Linked DNA regions of Astyanax mexicanus. The protein of the gene in region 1 purifies or fractionates together with the protein of each later gene. This does not show direct contact. Links are inferred from orthologs where the notes say so. Each region holds a gene or a part of one and is shown in the gene's direction. Other genes may lie near its edges.

The links.
Region 2: the proteins of bbs7 (region 1) and bbs4 purify together in Homo sapiens (co-immunoprecipitation; 7 studies listed by BioGRID and IntAct, counting the BioPlex papers as one, with this or other methods). This does not show direct contact. The link is inferred for Astyanax mexicanus from reciprocal best matches to the Homo sapiens genes BBS7 and BBS4.

The regions. Positions count from the first base shown.
Region 1 is NC_064417.1:25,281,613-25,292,787, reverse strand, and holds the start of bbs7 (Bardet-Biedl syndrome 7 protein), read left to right. Parts: upstream 1-5,901; 5' UTR 5,902-6,412; coding exon 6,413-6,448; intron 6,449-6,591; exon of another isoform or gene 6,592-6,593; coding exon 6,594-6,659; intron 6,660-7,861; coding exon 7,862-7,924; intron 7,925-8,037; coding exon 8,038-8,213; intron 8,214-8,317; coding exon 8,318-8,504; intron 8,505-9,103; coding exon 9,104-9,176; intron 9,177-9,284; coding exon 9,285-9,401; intron 9,402-9,643; coding exon 9,644-9,774; intron 9,775-9,871; coding exon 9,872-9,956; intron 9,957-10,579; coding exon 10,580-10,682; intron 10,683-11,038; coding exon 11,039-11,175. Other genes in the region: small integral membrane protein 43-like, read right to left, coding at 2,356-2,589.
Region 2 is NC_064409.1:48,862,596-48,873,464, reverse strand, and holds the start of bbs4 (Bardet-Biedl syndrome 4 protein), read left to right. Parts: upstream 1-6,014; 5' UTR 6,015-6,087; coding exon 6,088-6,114; intron 6,115-7,722; coding exon 7,723-7,774; intron 7,775-10,050; coding exon 10,051-10,130; intron 10,131-10,223; coding exon 10,224-10,287; intron 10,288-10,385; coding exon 10,386-10,497; intron 10,498-10,869.

The DNA.
Region 1 (11,175 bases):
ACATCACAGCTCTGGTTGTGTAAGGAGAAGTTAATGACGTGATCCAGAGGTGAAAAGAGCCTGTCTATGATAGTGTATGGCTGAAGTAGTGAAGCAAGGACACATTATGATTCGTTAACCTCACTGACCTCTTGGCACGGACATTCATTGATCCCTTTTCCAGGAACATCTGCCTTTGACATGAACAATATTCCAGCCTCTTTGACTCAATTAGACAAGAAGAAATCAAGTTTACATGCTTGGTTGTTGTTGTAGGCTACCAGATCTGGAGGATTCTACACACTGGCAGAAAGATGATGCACAAGATGACATGAAAAAAACAACAAGAGTAATGCAATGACTGCAGTGCTTGTATTTTATTGTACATTATTGTTAGCATGTTTATTAGAGTTCCAGTATTAATAAGTATTAAATACATTGCAAACATCTAATTCTACATACAGTGTTTCAGTATGTCTAAAAAGCACATTGCCACAAGATAACACAATAAAAATCATGTTATTTTACGTAAACAAAAACAAGACATGTGATCATATGTGGAAAACAATATAACCATGTAAAAAAAAACATGATCATGATCACTTAAGGAAAACAGTGTGGATCACTTGGGGAAAATTATCACATAAAAACATGATCATGTATCTCTTGTGATAAAAATGTAATAACGTAGGGAAAAAAATGGTCAGATCATAAAAAACATGCTTACATGTGGGATTATGTGTAAACAGACATGCTCACATGTGGACAACATTTTAGTCACGTGGAAAAAAAGTGTAGTCACATCTGGCAAACAGTGTGGTCACGCTGGGGGGGGAAATGTGATTAGGTGTGAAAAACAGTGTGGTCACATGAGAGAAAATATAATCACATGTGGAATAAAATATTTGATAATATGGAAAACAGTGTGGTAAAAAAAACATGCTTTTATGTGAAAAAAGTGAGAAAAACATAACCCAGTGAGTTTTTAACTGTTTTGTATGTTTGTTTATTTTAACATCAATTATCTTTGTGCATGTTCTTTTAGAAAATTGCTGTTTATTTGTCTAACAGTAGCTCTGTTCAATAATGGCAAATAATTTAGTTAAAATAAAATCTTTGTTCTTCTTCTTAGCTGGTAGGAGATTTGATATATGTGTTGCAGCCGGTAAAATGAAGATAGTAAAACTTAGGACATATAATTCAGCAGCCATATATATTTACCAATGCGCATTAAACATATTGTAATCAGAAACAATACTGTGTCCCGAGTAATGTTCCAAATATTAGGGAAAAAATGGCAATATAAAGTCGAATTTATGATATAAAATCAGTTTATGAAGAGCCTACCCACATTCTTCTCCGTTTTATCAGAAAATTACTGTGAAACAATAGAGGGAGCCCACAAGTGAGTCCAAAATGAATAGGGGTGAATAGGGGAATTAAAATGAGCAATATCCACCTGGCCAGAAATTTTCTTTAATTTTGAAAAGCAAAATAATATAAATAAATAATAAAATAATGTTGCAAAAAAGCAAAGAAAATGTACCTATACTTGTCCATTTGTCTAGAGCAAACGGGTTTCAGACAACAGACGTGCTAGAATAACTGCTGCTAGTGAGCTGGGCTCGGTAGCTAACCTAATTTGGTTGACTAGCTATAGCAACTTGCTAGCTTAAGTAACTCAAATGATAGTCTAATGTTGGCCAACTACTATAAAATCACTACACAGATAACCTAACTGTGGCTACATAACATAATATTGGACACAAACTAAACATTTTCAGTAAGACAATAGAAACAATTAGCTTAGCTAACAGCAGATTATAGAGTATGATAAAGTTAGCTAGCTAGACCTGTCAGCCACACAGAAAAAAACAGCTCAGAAAAATACAGTTTATAGTCTAGTTTTACTTAAAGTAAAGCTTATAATTCACTCAATAATAAACAATTTGTATGGAATAATTGTATAGAAATCTTCATACTAATTTCTTCCAGATAAAAATAGGTTAGCTATCTGACAGCTGATGTTAATTAACGTTACTCCAGACAGCTCTTCTTCAGGTTTTCTTATTCACTGAACATTAACAGCCACTCAATCCAGCAGTTGGGTCCAGAAAAAGCCCAAGAAGAAATTGTGTTCTATTTAGGAACATAAACATGCAGTTTTTCATCTGAATTATCCTCAAAAGCTGGGAATGCTGGCTGGCTAGATTTCAGTGGTCAGTCTTGGACACTTCCAGAACTTCATGTTTCAGTCACAGGATAATAATCCACTCTGGTTGTCCAACATAGTTTAACAATATAAGATGTTTGTAAAGGCTTTTTTTGGCGAAAAATTACATCCAATGCATGATTTTCCATACTTGTCTCTCTTTCTCAGAAATTGTGACCCCTGAAGGACCCAAAGTGTGGCCCTCTGAAGGACCGGCTGGGGTGGAGGGCGCTGTTTCCTACAGAGTTCCTCAGCTGCTTCAGCAACATCCACAGTAGGAGCCCCATCAGCAGCAGCAGGAGCATGAGGATCCCCAGATACACGCTCACGTTCCAGCCCCATTCCATCGCAAGAGGCATAGAGGTGGAAGCCACCAGGAACTTCTTAGGAGCAGGCATCAGTTAGCATGGATTGAATGCAACCGCCCTGGTTCTTCAGGGGGGTCCCACCCCAGGGAGATGTTTAGGTTTGAGGCGTAGCATCCTTGGTTTTCGCATGTAGAAGCAGACCATCTTCTTTGTCCTCACATCTCCTTGAGGTCTGGTAGTGTCCTCTGCTGCTGGCAGAATGAGGCAGCTTTTCCAAACCCCTGCGTCTCTGTGTCTGAGTGTTGACCCCTCCCCTGGTGCTGAAGGACATTCATTGCCCTGACTTATGCGCTGGGGAAAGTGCACACACTCACACACAAACACACACACACACACGCATGCATATGCTCATTCTCAAACAGACTCAACAGAGGGAGAAGATAATATCTATGAAAACAGCTGTCTAGTGTTGTATCAGACCATCACACTGTGTCTGTTCAAGTGTCCTCATATTGCATGAGATTTATTCAATAAGAGAACTGACAAAATGTTCTCGGCATCATCAAGACCAGATGAAGGCTGTTACGGCAAGAGCATTTTGTCCATATTTTTTGTAACCTGCTTGATGATGAAGGCTTTGTGCACGCTGTTGCATGAATTTGCTTATAATTAGGATAAATAAGCCTATGAAAAAAAATCATGAAACCCGTTAATCAGAAGCTTACATTGCTTCTAATAAAATATGCATGTTCTCTAATGCACATCATCATTCATAATATGATCATAATATTTCTTTATAATATTTATTAATATAGACTTACTCTTACGCAGATTAAAAATATACACAAAGATATGTAAAAGAAAGAACATGACAACATTAGATATCTTTATCAATACCAAATCTCAAAACTTAAAACTTAAATAAGCAAGACAATGCAGTTAATTCAGAACATAATAAGCATGATAGGGTATTGCAAGCAAACACACCCACATATAGACCTATGTATGCAGTTTAAGCCTTATAAAAAATGACATTCACAGATAAGACAACTAGGTAAGACAACTAGATTAGATAACTTTATAAATCCAAGAGCAAAATCCACAAATTGCAGTAGTCTAATATACAGATATGGCAAAGAGATCAGTAAATCAAATATATTGATTTGACTACACAATGTGTACACAAGTATAGAACTTTATAAAGAATATAATAAATAAATAAATAAAAACTACAAAAACAGAAAATTTATTCATTTTATGCAAAGTGCAAGTTAGGGTGGCAAGGTTAATTGAATGAATTATTATTTTCAAAATGGGGTCATTTATTTCAGTAATTCAGTTAAAAATGTGAAACTCATATTATATAGATGTATTGTACCCACAGTGATCTAATTTAAGCATTTTTTTTATTGTTTATGATTATGTCTTACAGCCAATGAAAACCCAAAAATCAGTGTCTAAGAAATGTTGAATATTATATAAGACCAATTGGTCCTTTTGGCAGTGTGGGCAGTGTACCAAGTCTCGCTGGAAAATGAAATCCATATCTCTATAAAAGTTGTCAGCAGAGGGAAGCATGAGCTCTGTAATAAAATAGCATAGCGAACACTTCCTATGCAGCTATACGGAAGAACAATAACATTTGTAGATTCTTAAACCATGTGTTCAGTTTAGTAAATTATTCTCTTATTTGCCTTTTTGAAACATTACCCCAATCTGACCCTGCTTCTTTTGGAGTAACTGCATCTGCTGTAAGGAATTGATTGCAACAAGAGCATTAGTGAGGTCAGGGTGTTGGATGATCACCATCCCACCTTATCCCCAACTTCCTAATTTATCACATTGCATAACATTCTTTAAGGTTGAAGAGGGAAAAAAACATTAAAGCAACCTTTATTTAACATTGCCTAATAGCCAATAGTTAATGTTAAAATTCTGATGTTGAATCATTGTTCATTCCAGTTTTTGAATGGTTGGGGCTCTGAATTCACACTTACAATGATTTTAGGTGTACAGTGCTTCCCACAAGTAATAGTATTGAGTGTATTAAATCAGATGTCTCTAAAAATAATTTCCCACTGAATGGGTGCCATTTGCTTGTTGTAACTCTTCCAAATTAAACTTATTTTTTTTCAACTCTGAATCTAATAACACCTGTATGTAACTATTCAATACATGTACTGGTCAATCTTAGGCAGCTTTACAAGGTTTCTAAGCTGAAGATGGTTACAAAACTCATTTGACATTTAAAAAGCATGTTTAAAAGCAAGTCCACTAATTCTTTGATTGATTTTCTCTCAAGAAAGCGTTTATTTTAAAGAAATGGTTGACTGTATGTTCAAATAGTTGATATTAATGACAAAAAAATTACACCTGTTACTGGAACTCAGTCCTGTTTCTGGCACACATTCCTGTTACTTTTATTTGTTTTAAGTAACAGGAATTAAAGTAACAAGACTGTTTTTAGCATAGAATTAGCAAAAACATGAAAAATAGCTAAATAGCAGCAATGCCAATAGCATGAGGACACTGAGCACATTCTAGTGATTTTCCCACAATAAGATCTAAGAATTAATTTAGGTAACAGGACAGAGTGTTGAGATTGACCTCCTCAGTCATAGTTACAATAAGATCAAATATACAAAAAAAAAAAACTAATGGGGGAACTTAATTTTGGTCTTCTCATGATCTTCAGAAGAACCATCTGATGTAACTTTCTGTTGTAGATGTGTAGCGTTACAGATGTTTCAGATGTTTTACGGTAACAGGAATGAATGAAACCCAGGGACACATCTAAAATGTTTTTAGTTCTTTTATCTTAAGTATTATGGACTTACAACAATGCAAAAAATTACATCTCTGAAAAATTGTAATCATTATTTTTCATGGTAAAGTTTATAGTTAGAGAGTGGGGACAGGTAACAAATGCTATTTTTTCAGTTTTCTAGGTCACTGGCTGAACTACAGTGTTGTTAGCCAATCAGAGTGGATATGTTTGCATGTATGAATATTGCGCAAATATATTCATGTACAAGACAATATGCTTCATAATAAAATGTATTTGAACGTTATTTTGTGTGCACATGTAACATGTAATTTCCTGGGGACAAAAAAGGAACACATTTGGTGGAATGGCTCAGGGGTCTGTACAGTTCAAAAGCACAAATAACAAAAAAAATCTGTTCTTGTGAGAATAAAAGTTTGATCAAAATATTTATTTTGATTAATTCTGATAAATTACTTATTGTTTTAATAATAAAAAAATAAAAGTCATAGAATGAAAAAAAATTAAATTATTGATATTGAATTATTTTTAGAGACCAAAAAAAACTTTTCCAGATTAATATGTATTTCTGCAATATTATTTCCTTTTTTTTTGCCTAATTTGTTTGTCTCCATGGAAACCTGGGATGCGTCAGAGACCAAACATGGCGGCGCTGAGAGGGCAGCTTGCTTAGCTTTGCTGGATGTTTATTAATCTATTCGCTAAGCTTTTTTGCTCTTCTAGAAAATGATATATAATACGGGCTAATGTCGGGTTTTTACCTCCTTCCAGAGGACTAACGAGCCGCGTTAACTCTCACACGAAGGAAAAATCTGTTTCTGCGGGTAGCATGTAAGCTAACTAGGCTTGTTATTTAGGTTAGCTTTAGTTAGCCTTCCAGCTAGAACCTGCGGGAGGAGCGAGGACAGTCAGCAGCACTTAATCCAGGAGTTAATCCGCTCACTGAGACACTGCATTTCTTTCAGACTACGTTTAAACCTCCGAGAAACTAGAGGAAACGACAGATACCTGAACTATCCGGCAGCACACAGCAGAAACACCCAGCTCTGAAGCTAATCGACTAATCAGTAACTGAGATTCCGTGATCTACAGCCAGCTACACCCACATCTGTGATCAAAACAGAGAAGATGGAACTTAGTTTAAACCACGTTGATTATCTTCAGGTAAGAAGCTACTTTTGAGACTCCAAACTATCCAATGCTATGTGATAAGTACTGAAAATTTAAACAGTAGTTATCATTAGTAAACTGTTCACCATGTTATTGGCACGAATAAGCAGGAGTTATTTTTTCTTATTTGTCTTTCAAGGTCGGAGTAACATCCCAGAAAACCATGAAACTGTTACCAGCAGTGGGACGAAAAGCGACACAAAAGGTAAGTTGACTTTTTTTATCTTTCAAATCTTGATCTGTATTACTGTTATGTTTTGGTAATGAATTGAAAGAATGTAGTTACAGAATTCATCAAACAATTGCTATCAAACCATTAATATAAAATTCTTGCACAAGTGCACATACAAAATGATGAAGCATGGCAGCCAAAACAATGAAAAAAATGGTAAAAAAAAAAGCAAATATAATGAACAATGTAATAAAACACATCATCAAAATCTAAAGTAGTTCTAAAACATTGTTATAATATTTTAGGTCCATATTCGCCCACCTCTAATCTAAAACACATTTTTTGAATTATAAAATGTGCATGGTATAACATTTTAATGGTCTCACTCCTTGTTTTTTTTTTCATTCTTTTTAAATTGTCTCTTGATCTCTACTATGAATGAATGCCATGTGAGCCGTTTTTTATGAAAGAAGTGCTCTGGTGATCCAATAAAACTGTGCTTTAATGTGATATCTAGTATGAATGAATGCCATGCGAGCCATTTTTTTTACGAAAGAAGTGCTCTGGTGATCCGATAAAACTGTCCTCTGGAGTCCTCTGGAGGAGTGGGGGGAATTTCGGCTCTTGCTCATGAAAACATACAAAAATCTACTCTGATTGGCTAACAACACTGCAGTTCAGCCACTAACCTAGTTTTAAAGTCTCTGTAAAATGCGAAATCCACCGGAGATCCTATGTAAACCTATGATTACATATGATTAGTCTTAGACTTAGTCTTAGCTGTAAAAAAGTGGGTGGATTTGCCCCAGGCATCCTTCTCTAAGCCAGGGAGTGTAATTAACTTTTACTCTACAGCAGTAAATACAAATCACACTACATGGAGCAGCTCTACATTTGGATTTTTTAACAAGCTGACATATACAAAAGCAGCATCTGTGAATGAGAAAGAAGCATGTGGGCTGAGCCCATAGAGTAATATTATTTATTTTATTTTTACACAAATATGGTTTGTGTTTGGTAGCATTTGTATTATGCAGCTCCACCAAAGTTACATTATAGCACAGTAACAACATTTCAGAGTGGCAATGTCATAGGCACCATTCTCCCTATTACACTCAGTGGAACATCAATACGATTCTGAAGCTGCTAATGTAAGATAAAATTGTTACATAATCTTGCTTTAACTGGATGTTTTTATTAAGTGTTATGTTTTTTTTGTGATTTCTTCCATTTAGGTTGCTGTTGCAGACCACGATGGTGTAGTGAACTGTTTCGGGATGAAAAAGGGAGAGGCTGTGGTGCGTGTTTTAATTATTTTAACATTATTGACTTTATGATGGTTCAAATACTTTATTCACCTATTGGAGATTATATAATTACTGCTAAAGCAAAAAAACTCTATTTTATCCAGCCTGTTTTCAAAAGTCTCCCAGGGCAGAAGATCTCCAGACTAGAACTGGGAGGAGCTTTAGGAACCCCTCAGGAGAAAATCTTTGTATGTTCTGGCTCTGAGGTCAGGGGCTTCACCAAAAAGGGAAAACAGTTCCTTTCTTTTGAGGCCAATCTGACTGAGAGCATTAACGCCATGTGAGTCATTATTTTTTCATTATATGCTCATTATATGCTTCATTATATGCTGGTTACAATGGATGTACGTGACCTGAACGTTAATATTTATACATTGTTGGCAGGCATGTTTCTGGAGCAGATCTTTTTGTCTGTGCCAGCTACATCTACAATCACTACTGTGACTGCAAAGACCAGGACTATTACCTGTCAGGAGACAAGATCAATGACATAGTTTGTTTACCTGTGGAAACAGTGGGCCGTACAGTGCCTGTTCTGGCCTGTCAGGACAGAGTTCTTCGTGTTTTACAGGTGATTGTACTGAATTTAACTCTTATCTGCCCAGCAGTTTAAATATCACCATTCAAAGCTAATAGAAGCCTCTTAGTATCAGGTGAATGAGACAATGCTAACTGGAAGTAGCAGTCCCTAAGATTTTGTCTTTTAAATTGAAAGTAGTAGTATTTGTCATAAGTGGGGGAATAAGGGGGAAAATATTCTAATGAATGATATCAGTGTTCCGGCACAACAATTTAAAAACAGAGTGGTCTGGTAGGTTAGTTGGACGTGATTAATCTGCCCATTTTGACAGAATTCTATAAATGAACAAGAACAAAACAATATACTCAAAAAATTGAATTTTACATAGCAATTTGTTTACATTAACCTGCATTAAAAGTACTGTACCACATGCTCTGTGCAATTACACATTCTCACCAGAGAGGCCTCCAAATCCTCAAAATTTACAGACTGTCACTTTAAACAAAATCCAGTTGAGCTTATCTATAAAAATGAGTCATCCACAATCTTTCCATGTGTTTCCTTTCTTCTACTCAAACATTCTTATTCACTCATAACATTTTAGTAAACATCTGATCCTATAGTACAGTATGAATTCTTGTTTCCTGAAGGGCTCTGAGCTGTTATATGATGTTGAGGTTCCTGGACCTCCATCTGTTCTGGAGCTTCACAACAGAGATGGAGGTGAGCCGTGAAACCTAGGTCTGATGCAGAACAGTACAAAATAGTAATTGAAATATGTAGATATGAGTGTGTGTATGATTGTTGACACAACGTATGTTTTATGTGTAGGTAAGAATGGGGAGGAGGTGCTGTATGGAACCACTGATGGGAAACTGGGTCTGATCCAGTTAACCAGTTCTGCTCCTGTCTCTAAATGGGAGGTGGACAATGAGAAGAAAAAAGGAGGTAGGGGCAAATCTTATAGACAGCTTTGTGGAAATTTAAAACAGTTTTGTAGGTGAGTTTACGGATGGGTGATATTGTAAAAATATAATGAAAATATCATATGTTTTTTGAGTGCACAAGTGATATTTAAAGACCTTTTCATAATATGCAATATTTATTGCAATATTTTTGGATGTAGACAAAATACACTAACTTAAAAATTTCTAACTAAATTTAACTTTTTATTTCATTATCTTCTTAAGGGGTGCTGTGCATCGATACCTTTGACATTCTGGGTGATGGTGTGAAAGATATTCTGGTGGGCAGAGATGATGGGACAGTCGAGGTCTATGGATTGGACAGCTCCAACGAACCCACGCTACGCTTTGAGAATGTATGTGTGACACTGACAGGTTAACACTCTCTGCTGATTTCAAAATAGCTGATCAGTGTTGTTTGATCACTAATCTGCATTATTCTGTGATCAAAAGGTTTTGTCAGAAAGTGTCACATCAATCCAGGGGGGGTGCGTAGGAAAGGAGTCATATGAGGAAGTTCTAACTACCACCTACACAGGTCAGAGACTGAAGACTAAGTTAAAATACTCCTTACATTCTACCATCCATGTTGCTTCTATCTGCTGTTAGCAGATTCCATATTAAAAGTAGTGCCATATAGAACCATATTAAAAAATGTATAAGGACACCTACACATTATACCTACAGGAGGTTTTACCACATTCTGTTCTTTTACCATAGTCATTAGCGTGCAGTCGGTCCCCCTTTGCAGCTCTAACAGCAAGTGTGGAGCTCTGCAGTCATTGATCAGCTATTCTCATCAGCACACCCCTTCTGTAACTTTACATGATCAGACATTTTGTGGCTGAGTTTCTGTGGTTCCTAAATGCTTTCACTGTTTAATAATAACCACTCACAGCTTATTGTGGAATATCTTGTAGGGAATAAATTTCACCAGCTGACCTCCTATTGCACACAGTGCAACACACGTTCTCTATCTAAGGTCTGTAAAGTCCCAAGACTGCATTACTTGGAACTTGATTTCGTACACCTATGGAAATGAGACTTTGTGAAACACACAGTTTCAATGATTAGAGGTGTGACCAAAACCTTATGTCTTTATAGTGTATTTTAACCCTATTTTAAATATCTTACTCCCTTGTCTGGTTGTGATGTCACTAGGTTGGGTGTCAGGCCTCACTACAGAGCCGCAGCAGATGGAGGCAGGGCCAGGAGATGAGGTAAAGATGAGCCGAGAGACCCAGACAAAGGTGGCTGCGCTCAGGTACAGACTTTACACATGTAATGCTGGACAAAGCTCTTATTTAGTGATATTCCTTATGAATTTAAAAAAGAAGCTCTTATTATGGAGAAGCTAAATCTCTCCTAGATAAATGTGAAATATTAATAATTATTAATATTACTTTATTTTAGATGTTTAATTAATGATTAATGATTAATAGTCATAAATCAATTACTGTCATGATATATTTACTTAATTTACAAATTATCTGAAGAGGAATTGCATAAAAAAATGTTAAATATCTTACAATCCAAATTCAATGCATTTTAATCACCAACTTCATAGCAGTACCTTACAAATATGTTACTAATTGGTGTTGAGTTGTTTTGTGTTTTCAGGGCTGAGTTAGAGCAGCTGCAGGTGAAGGTAATGCAGGGTCGGGAGAAGTACCAGCAGAGCTCTCAGTCAAGCACGGCCGTATCTGCGGTGCCCGTCTTTAGCATCAATGACAGATTCACCCTGTGCCAGGATGACG
Region 2 (10,869 bases), on another chromosome or scaffold:
ATAGATTTCAATGGCAAAACAGACAACTTTCAATCACGTTTTTTTCTAATATACTGTAATTCTACCTCCTTTATTTAAATGCAACAGCTAGTGTAACCTCTACTTATATTGTCAATTTTTTATATCCCCACAAAATTGTTTTTTTTAAACGTTATGCAGCTCTATTCAAAAAGGTGTGGCTATTGAAAAATGGCTGGTTATGGGCGGGACCAATAACAGACCATCAGCTCCTCTCTGCAGTCTGTGACCGTGAGGCAGCCCTCAGGGGCGGGGTTATTCAAATGAGTAGGCTGTCTCTCCACAGTCTGGGCTCTACCGTACAGACTCGGGTATCAGGATCGCCAATATGGCGGAAGGTTTTGGCTTCATTTTCACTGAACGAATGGGAATGGAGACACGACGTCCATCTTTTTTTACAGTCTCTGAGTGTAATCAACATATAATATGATATGTATTCAGTGGTGATTCAAAGCACAAATACATTCTTGACAGGGGAATATCATAAACCTGCTTTGAGCTCCATTTTATAAGCTTACATGATAAAAGAAATAAATCTTATATAAAGCTGCTTTAAGCCCCATCTCATTAGATTAATATGATTTTAAAAGTGTTAAGAGAAAAAAAACTAGCCCTATTTAAAAAAGGTAGAAACATAGAATTAGATGCAAACCAGCAAGAGTATGTGTGAGAAAGAGTTGCCAGCCTTTAAGGTAAAAGAATAAAAAAACCCTAATATACATGCTTTAACTTAAATATATACTGTAGTCCTGAAAAAACAACCCTTTTCTTTTAGTCACATTTCATAAATAAGTGTTTTTATACAATCAGCATTTTTGTAAAATCTGATTTTAAAAATAATAATAAATTGCCTTGCTTACAGTACTGCAATATACTGACATATATATTGAATCGGAACTGCTAAAAAAGGAGGCAAAAAGCTAATGCTATACCAACTACAGTGGGCGCCAGGTAATTAGTGCCAAGCTAAATGCTAACCTGCTAAACAGCTGCAACACTATTTAAAACTGAATGTTTGAACTAAAAATGTAATAATATAATCATCATTTTAAAAATGTGTTATTTAACCACTTTATCATCCACCTTAACCAGGCAGTACTGTGTATAATGCAAAAAGGCGCCCCCCCCACACCACAGAAAACTGTATAAAATGTACAGAAAGTTCTTTAAAGTGAAAATTAACATTTCTTTATATGTGTAATAACGTTTTCAACAAAGTAGATCTTGGGAAATGTGTTACAGAGTGATAAGAGTGAGAAAAATTAAACTAAGGGACAATAATAATAATAATAACAATAATAATAATATATGCAAGCGGCAATCTGCGGGTTCAAGCACCAATAGAATAGTGATGTGTGAAAAGGTCTAATGTAATTGGAGATGCCCTGTCACATTTAGAAATTATCAAAAGTTTTTCACCTGTTATTAATATTGAGCAGAGGCCTTTCAACATGATCAGTGCTTAAATTCACATACAAATCTATTGAAGTTTGTAGGATATTCATCAAGTGAGTTAGAACTAGTCAAAAGGTGTCTACATGTTATGGGTATTGATCAGGTGGCTTCAACCAGAATGTTCCCAAAGTGGTGTTCAGATTGACCTTTTGACCTTTGCAAAACAAGCTGAAATGTTTGACTAAACAAGTTTAAATTAACACAAACGAGTGCATTGTCTGACATGACATGTAACTACAAAGTTATTCTAAATCTAGTTCTGAATTAAATGGCACTTCATCGAGCCCCAACTGGCACAATGGTGCCTACTAGAGCATAGGATGATGATGTGTAAGAAGGTCTAGCATAATTGGAGACACACTGTCACATTTAGAAATGATCAAAAGTCTTTCACCTGTTATTAATGTTGAGAAGAGGCACAAAGGAGTGCATGTTCTGATATGACATGTAATTACAAAGTTATTCTAAATCTAGTTCTGAATTAAATGGCGCTTCATCAGAGTGATTTTGTACAGAGGTCTTTAACATTGTGAGATTACAGCAAATACTGCAGAGTTACAGCAATTTAGGTTAGAAATTCCAAGGACGCACAGATTGCTTGATGCCTGGACAGTATTGTATGTGAAATTTTCACAAATGTTTTTAATGAACATTTACCTAGAGACTCTACAGTGTGCAACATAACCGAAATGGAGGTGATATGCCAAATATCCAGAGACCAGTTTCAATATAGCTATTTTCAAACAACTAGCAATTATGAATAAACAAAGCACTTTTTAAACATAGTTGTATTGACAAATTTGTCAGAGCCACTGTACTAAATATGGCAAAAATAATGTGATGTCAAAATAGTACAGCATGATTGACATATACTCGTTTATGTCCCCCAGTGGCCGGATTGTTTCAGGACTGTGCAGGTCACTACAGTGTCTCCACCTGAAAATAACTGCCAAATGTGATCCAGATTGTTCAACATTCAGCCTGCCAAAATGTCTGCTGAATGCTGATTGGCTGATGGTGTTCAGCCATGTTGATTGATTCAGTTGCCCTTTGACCATCCTTTAGAGGATATATGATATATTCTGTATGCAAATTTTCAGCTTGCTAGGTTGCACGGTTGCTGAGAAACAGTGCTCCAAATTTAACTGTTGGAGTGAATAGGGCATATATCCGGAAGGGCTAATTTGCATATGACGGCCATATTGTGTACAAATTTCAACATTTTTGATGAATATTGAAGAGCATGGTCTCCTGAGTATTTTGATACCAAACATGTCAGGATTGGTCAAAATACCTAGGACTAGTTCGCAAAAGTATGTTTTGCATATTATGCAAATTAGCAAAAAATCTATATAGACGGAAGTGCATGATTGTAGGTATTGGCCCAAGGAATCCATCAAAAAAAGAATTGTGAATGTAGGTCTTATGGTTTTTGAGTTATTGAGAAAAATGTGAAAAATGAATTTCCTTGTTTATAGAGCCACCACTTGACCAATCGGTGCCATTTTTGTTGTCCGCCGAGATGCACTGATCCTACATCTACCTACCAAGTTTCATATCTCTACGACTTACAGTTTAGGCTGCACAACTGCTTTTTCAGAGGAAAAAGAATAATAATAATAATTATAATAATAATAATAATAATAAGAAGAAGAAGAAGAAGAAAAATCTTAGCAAAAACAATAGGGTTCTACGCACCTTCGGTGCTTGAACCCTAAAAATTTTAGCAAAAACAATAGGGTTCTACGCACCTTCGGTGCTTGAACCCTAAAGATTCATAAAAACATTCTTGAATGCTTATTTCTGATTATTTGAACATTTAAACGTTTGAGAATTCAAATCTAATTCTGAGACTGTGTAATTCTATTACATTTTAAAAGCTAATATTTTTAAAGCTTTAAATCTAATAAAGTACATTTAAAGTTAAATCAAAAGTTAAAAAACTGGTGTGAATGCTGTTAATAATTTAAAGAACTAAATAATATTTGAATATGTGACTAGAGTAATAACAATAATATAATTTATCTATTTATTTATTTATTTATTTATAAAGCACTTTTTATTCATAGAATGCAGCTTTAAGATTCAAAGTTTTTACAACATAATGTAATAAGAAACAGGATTAAGCAATGCAAAAAACTTACTTTTAAATGGGTTTGTAACAAGTCTTAATTAAGCTAATTAAGCTTATAAAAGTTAATTAAACTTATAAAAAAATAATTAATGAAAGTGTAATGTAAGGAAACTTTATTTCTATAAAAATTATAAAGTAAACTTATGAACTTTTAAAAGATATAATTCAATTATGAACTCTAAAAATATTAGGTAAACTTATGAACTCTATAAAATGATAAAGTACTCTATACAAATATAGCTAGTTAATTCATGGACTATAAAAATATAAAGTAAACTCATCAGTAATAGACAGATATATACAGATTAATAAATAAACGATACATGGGGATCAGATGCGACGTCTTAAGAGTTTTACACTGTGCGTTATATAGGACTAACTTAAGCTGTCACGTGACTCAAGACAACAAAATACAAACTCCACCCAAAGACAACAGGGGGTTTTATATATGAATGCAAAATATCATTGTACAACGACATATCTAATATGCTACGGTGTAATAATATCAGCTGCAACAGTGAAAGTGTGTGATAACTGTTTGCCTCGGCGCTGAACAGCGACACCTGATGGTGATTTTTTCAGTCTCAGTTAAAAAAAAAAAACTAAACTGAAAGAGCCTGAGGTCTGTATTTACTTCTTCAATATTATACAGTAGCTGAAAAGAAAAAAAAATCTAAGGTATTCACAAACTTTTATGCACCACTGTATAACAGTTTCAAACATTTAGCAGGAGCAAAAAAATCTAAACTTTTTTGTAATATTTTGTACCAACAGCTACAAAACAAGAATAAGAATAATAATAAGAATAATAATAACATATCAACAAATCAAAATGTAAATAAAACAATGTAAAAGAGCGAAAAAAGCTACCGAAATACTAAAGTGCAGAGTATTTGGTGCATGCACGTGAACTGCAAATATAAACAATTATATGGTTGACAATTTGAATAATTTTTGCGAAAAGTTGCCATGGCATATCAGAGGTCCAGGGAATTTTTAGGATGTCAGACTGGAATGGGGAGGTTCTTCAGGCATGTTCCTGCTTCCAGAACTTAGTTATTTTATAACAATACATCATTATATGAGTACATACCTGTCAAGTCTCCCGTTTTGGCCGGGAAACTACCGTATTTTACTCCTCTTTCCCGTCGTCCTCCCGTATTAGTATTTTCCCGTAAATTTCCCGTATTATACTAAATAAAAAAAATATATAGGCCACAGGCGACAATGCACTGTGTGTCTCTTAACCAATCGTGTTGCCGGTTCAAGGAGAAAGTCCCGCCTTTCAGGAGAAACAGCCAATCAGATTGCTGGTTTTGCGGAGCGCAGTTTAGTGTCGGGCAGAGCCAGCCCCGCCCCTCCCCTCGCTGTGAGTTCAGGCAGCTAGTCGGAGCAGCTGTCGTTAAAACTAATCTGGATATACGGAGATTTTTCTAAAAGAAAGGTAACTAACCATGTAAACTGTGATGAGATTGTTTCTGATAGCTGGTTAAAAAGACTCTTCTCTGAATCAAAACATAAATTCAACCCATTGTGTGTTTAATAAAATACAGCTTGTGACTCAGTTAGCTTAACTTTAGAATTAGCTAGATAGATATTCAGGGTTTGAGAAAAATCTACATACATATAATGCCCTGCCCTGATGTGCCTGATCAGCCAAAACATATAATTTCCAAACTCTATTAGTTCAGGGCTAGTTTTAGGGTTTGTTAGAATTTGTTTAAATCTCAAGTATTGTGGTGTAATGTATTATTTAGAAGGGGTAGAAGAGATGGTTGAGCTGGAGAGAGAGAGAGAAAATGTGGAGAGGGCTGAAATTAACTGAACTGATCAGGAGTGGACTGAATGATAGAAAGAAGTATTAATGAAAGATTATTAATTGTGTAGGCCCCTTAGGACTATTATTTACTTATGGAATATATCTGATCCATGTCCTTTTTGTAAATTTGTGCACCCTTCAATTTCAATTTTAAATCTATTAAATAATAATAAAAAAATATATATGTATATATGTATATATATATATATGTGTATATATATATATATATATATATATATATATATATATATATATATATATACACATACATATATATATATATATATATATATATATATATATATATATATATATATATATATATATATATACATTTTTAGCCCTCGGTTGGGCTGTTGGGGCGGCGGAAAAAATCCCTTATTTTTAAGTCCAAAACTTGACAGGTATGTATGAGTATATATACTTTTTCTTTTATCTACATTATTTTATGTGTAGATTTTAAATTATTTTAAGCTCTATATATTATCAAACTAGTTCATAGTATTTAATCACCAGAGTTTTATTACGTTTTAGGGGGGACTTTTGACAGAAAATCGTTTTGGACTCGTTTGGATGGGGGCGGGACTAGTTACTATGGTAACGGCCGTGCGTTTTCAGGGGCCGCGTAGAAACCGGAAGTGTGTTTTCTGGAGCTGGAGGGATGGCTGATGAGGAGACGGTTAAAGCGGTGAGAATGGGGCTATGGAGCTGCAGCGGCTCTCAGTGAAACTCTGTAGCTGTAGCTGTGTATAAAGTGTGTGTTGGTGAAGCGGGGCAGTGGATATATATAGCGGGGCGGTTCGCTGGGAGGGTCTGTCTGAACAGCGGAGCTGCAGATCAAGCGCGTCTGTTAGCCAGCAGCGCTGCTAATGATACGATTTAAACCCATTAAACAACAGCTACAGTGTCTCAGATAACCTACTGTTTAACCCCTGTAGCTGCCTGACTGTCTGAAATACAGCCACTAACTAAGCCTAACTAAGCTTTAGTGTTTATGCTACCGTTACCGTTAACTCAGTTTAGGCTGTTTTTTGTGGTAAAGCTCATTTCAGTCTTTCTGTACTTGTTACTCGTCTGCAGGGGCTGGTAGGCTATTGAGAACACACTAAAATATCGAGTCTTTCATAAAATAAAGTTTTAGTTAGCTCTTATTTCTGTAGCTACCCACCTTCTGACAGTCAGTTCATTCATCCTGTCTCTGCTCACGGTATTAGCCACACTATACAGCTCTGTACAAAAAAAAAGACCACTTAAACTTGATTTTACCAAATTGAAAACCTCTGGAATATAATCAAGAGGAAGATGGATGATCACAACCCATCAAACCAATCTGAACTGCTTGCATTTTTGCACCGGGGGTGGCATAAAGTTATCCAAAAGCAGTGTGTAAGACTGGTGGAGGAGAACATGCCAAGATGCATGAAAGCTGTGATTAAAAACCAGGGTTATTCCACCAAATATTGATTTCTGAACTCTTAAACCTTTATGAATATAAGCTTGTTTTCCTTGCATTATTTGAGGTGAAAGCTCTGCATCTTTTTTGTTATTTCAGCCATTTCTCATTTTCTGCAAATAAATCCTCTAAATGATAATATTTTTATTTGGAATTTGGGAGAAATTTTGTCCATAGTTTATAGAAAAAAAACAATGTTCATTTTACTCAAACATATACCTATAAATAGCAAAATTAAAGAAACTGATTCAGAAACTGAAATGGTCTCTTATTTTTTTCCAGAGCTGTTTGTTCAAATGGTTGTGGACACTCCTTCTAATGACTGCATTCAGCTTATTTAAGTTACAAACACCCATTGCTCACACAAGCTGGAAATGCATACACAGCTTGTCTACTGTCATTAGAATGTGCAATGTGAGGGCTAGAGGGGAATAAAAGCCTTGATTTGGACAGTTAGGCATAAGATGGGTGAAATTTATCAACATCTGGGCCTTACTAATACTAACCTAATGCTGAATACAATAAAACCTCCCGGCAATGTTTCAGAATTATGCCTTCCATGGAGAGCAGAAACAGTTACTCCAACAAAATAAACTATTATTTAATACCATTTTTAATCCCTATTTGTATCTATGCAGTGTATATATAATGACATCGTCTTTCTGTTCACACAGTGGTTACTTTGTGCATGAAAATAATCTGACAGTATCACATGGTACTCTAGTCACACTGTAAAATTAGTCAAAAAGTTTAGCATTTGTTTAATATTGAAATATTGTATTATGTTATTCATTTATGCTGAACATTTTGATAAATTAATTTGTATGAATTTATTTGTTTTAGGATGCTCCGCTGCCGGTGGCCACTGACCCTAAGAAGCCTCGTCTTAAAAAAGGTTTGTTAGATTAAAAAGACAGCTGCTGAACACCAGTATCTAGTATTTAGCCTATAAGAAGATTAGAGAGGGCTTAAAACAGTGGCCATATATGTTACGGCGACATATTCTCTTCTATTTACATTAAGATATTACAGTTATAATAATGTGACAAGTGTTTGATTCATGATGTGATTAATTAAATTCTTTGATCTAAACTAGACGTGACGCAAAATTATATTAATTAAATATTTGATATTGATTTGCTGATAGGTAGATTATAGACTTCTTGGCTGTAGTGGCAACAGTTATGTGTTTTATACGTTTCATTGCATCTAGAAACTATGCAGTTATTGGTGTGATTAATAGTAATGAAACTTCAGGTAGATTTACTACTAATTCTTATTTTTTGTATTTCATGTGCATATCATTTGCATATCATTGTTTTCATTGAATTTCATTCTTGGCATGCCTCAATTTTTGCAGATTTTTTTTTTCGCTTGCAGTTGTTGTTTACATTGTATCAAAACTTTCTGAGGAATTAACCAACAGTAATGCTCCACAATTACTTGGAATAAAATATTTTTTTCATTGACCTCCACGTTAAGAGTTTAAGAGAGATTATTTTTTTCTACTTTTGTAAATTTGTCATTTGAAGATGCAAGGTTTTTGTATAAAAAGTGTTTCAGAGCTTTGTCCCTGCTCCAATTCGTCTCAATTGCCATTCTCTCCTTCCTCCTGTGGGTGGTGCTGATTGGCTGAGTTTTCTTCTCCAGTCTCCGATTAGCCTTGAAGAGGATTACAGCTCAGGGAGAAAAGTCTGTCCAGGAATAGAACTGCTTGAAATCAGATTTTGCCAGCAGCCTTATGAGCCAGCTAAGTAAGATGCAGATGCAGCCCCTCACTGTAGATGCTTCCTTTGTTGCGGTGCCTGTTGGGTTTAGAATGGGGGAGCTTTACATGGTCTCCAGCAGTGAGGAGGGAGCACAGCGGCAGAGTGTTCCTTATCAGAGACACTGAAAAATGTGCCTTCTGTCAGAAAATGCAGTCGCTAAAACATGCATGTCTTTATTCATGTCAGACTGCGTCAGATTATGTGTAAACTAAGTAATGTGGAACTTAGCTTGAACCCTGAGCTAAGTAATCCTGTTGTTTTGTGTCTATTGAAGTCGGCGCTTAATATTTTAGAAGATGAGGCATGCTCTGAAGTGAACTTTGGAGGCAAAAGGCTGAATATGTCTCTGAACAGAAGGCCCCCTTTTTTATGGTGCAAATCTATCAAGAAAGATTTCAAGGGTTAACACCCTGTCTTGAGTGTTTTAGTCTGGCTCTGTAAGTATTACTCATGTGTGACTGATCTGTTATGCGCAGCTAATTGCTTTGTCAAACTTTTGCAAAAGGCTTAAAATACACATGCTAAAATTTCAGGGGTAATAATCTAGGAACTATGACATGTAAAGCTTTATTGATCACTCGCTTTTGGACCCTGAACACCAGCTCTACAGCCAAGAAAGCCCAGCAGCGTCTCTACTTCCTCCGGAAGCTGAGAAAGGCCCGTCTCCCTCCACCCATCCTCACACTCTTCTATAGAGGGACCATTGAGAGCATCCTGAGCAGCTGCATCACTGCCTGGTTTGGGACCTGCACCGTCTCTGACCGCAAGACCCTCCAGCGTATTGTGAGGACAGCTGAGAGGATCATCGGCGTCTCTCTCCCCTCCATCACGGACATTTACACCACCCGCAGCATCCGCAAAGCAACCAGCATTGTGAATGACCCCACTCATCCCTCACACGAACTGTTCTCCCTCCTGCCTTCGGGAAGAAGGTACCGCAGCATCCGGTCCAGCACGACCAGATTCTGCAACAGCTTCTACCCCCAAGCCATCAGACTCCTTAACTGCAGAGACTGAAATGATGTTTTTTCTGTACATGCACACACACTCTTACCCCACTTACCCCAGAAAATGGAAAGCACTAAAAACCCTACTACCTCACTGGACTCTATTGCACACTGTGTAATAGAGTAATTACTACCTCACCTGGTCCTTTTTGCACACTGCAAAATTTGCACACTGTCTTGTTATTTATTATTCTTTGTCTGTATGGTGTTGTATTGTCTGTCTGCACTTTTGTACTGTTGCACTATTGTTCTGTCTACACTGTGTTTATGTGCACCATGGTCCTTGGAGGAACGTTGTTTCGTTTCACTGTGTACTCTGTATATAGCTGAAATGACAATAAAAACCACTTTGACTTTGACTTTGAATTTGATCTATCTGTGTGTTCCTGTTTCAGCCCCAGAACTTCCGATTCTAGAGAGGAGAAACTGGCTCATTCATCTTCACTACATCCGCAAAGACTATGAGACCTGCAAGGTGAGATGTGTACAAGGTGGCTGTGCTCAGCGAACGTGTTGTAAACAAGAAGTATGTGGTGTTTCATATGTTCCCTTTCCTGTCTTGTTCCAGGCCATCATTAAAGAGCAGCTCCAGGAGACTCAGGGCATGTGTGAATATGCTGTTTATGTCCAAGGTTGGTTCCATCGCAGCTCAATAGCCTGCCATATTTTTGTCTTCAAAGTTGTTCCATGTTCTTATATATTTCTATAATGTGTTTGTTTATATGTGTAGCTCTGATCCTGCGTTTGGAGGGGAAGATCCAGCAGTCGCTAGAGCTGTTCCAGAGCTGTGCCATCCTAAACCCCACCAGCTCTGATAATCTCAAACAAGTGGCCCGCTCCCTGTAAGGATCCTGTCATGTTTAATCCAGATTAAAATTATAGTTCTCTCTCTGGCTCATTTTCACCCTTCATGTGATTTTTTGGGCTGGTGTAAATTCTGTAGTTCACACTCTGATGCAGACTCAGAAGCTGTCTCTGCTATTACTCCATGTTAAAAATCACAGAAATCTGCATTAGTCCAGATCCTTCTTTCTGTATTCACTTTCTTGCTCCCTCCCCAGACATATAGCTCTGAACAAAATAAGAGATCACTTCAGTTTCTGAATCTGTTTCTCTGATTTTGCCATTTAAAGGTACATGTTTGAGCAAAATAAACAATATTGTTTTATTCTATAAACTACGGACAACATTTCTCCCAAATTCCAAATAAAATT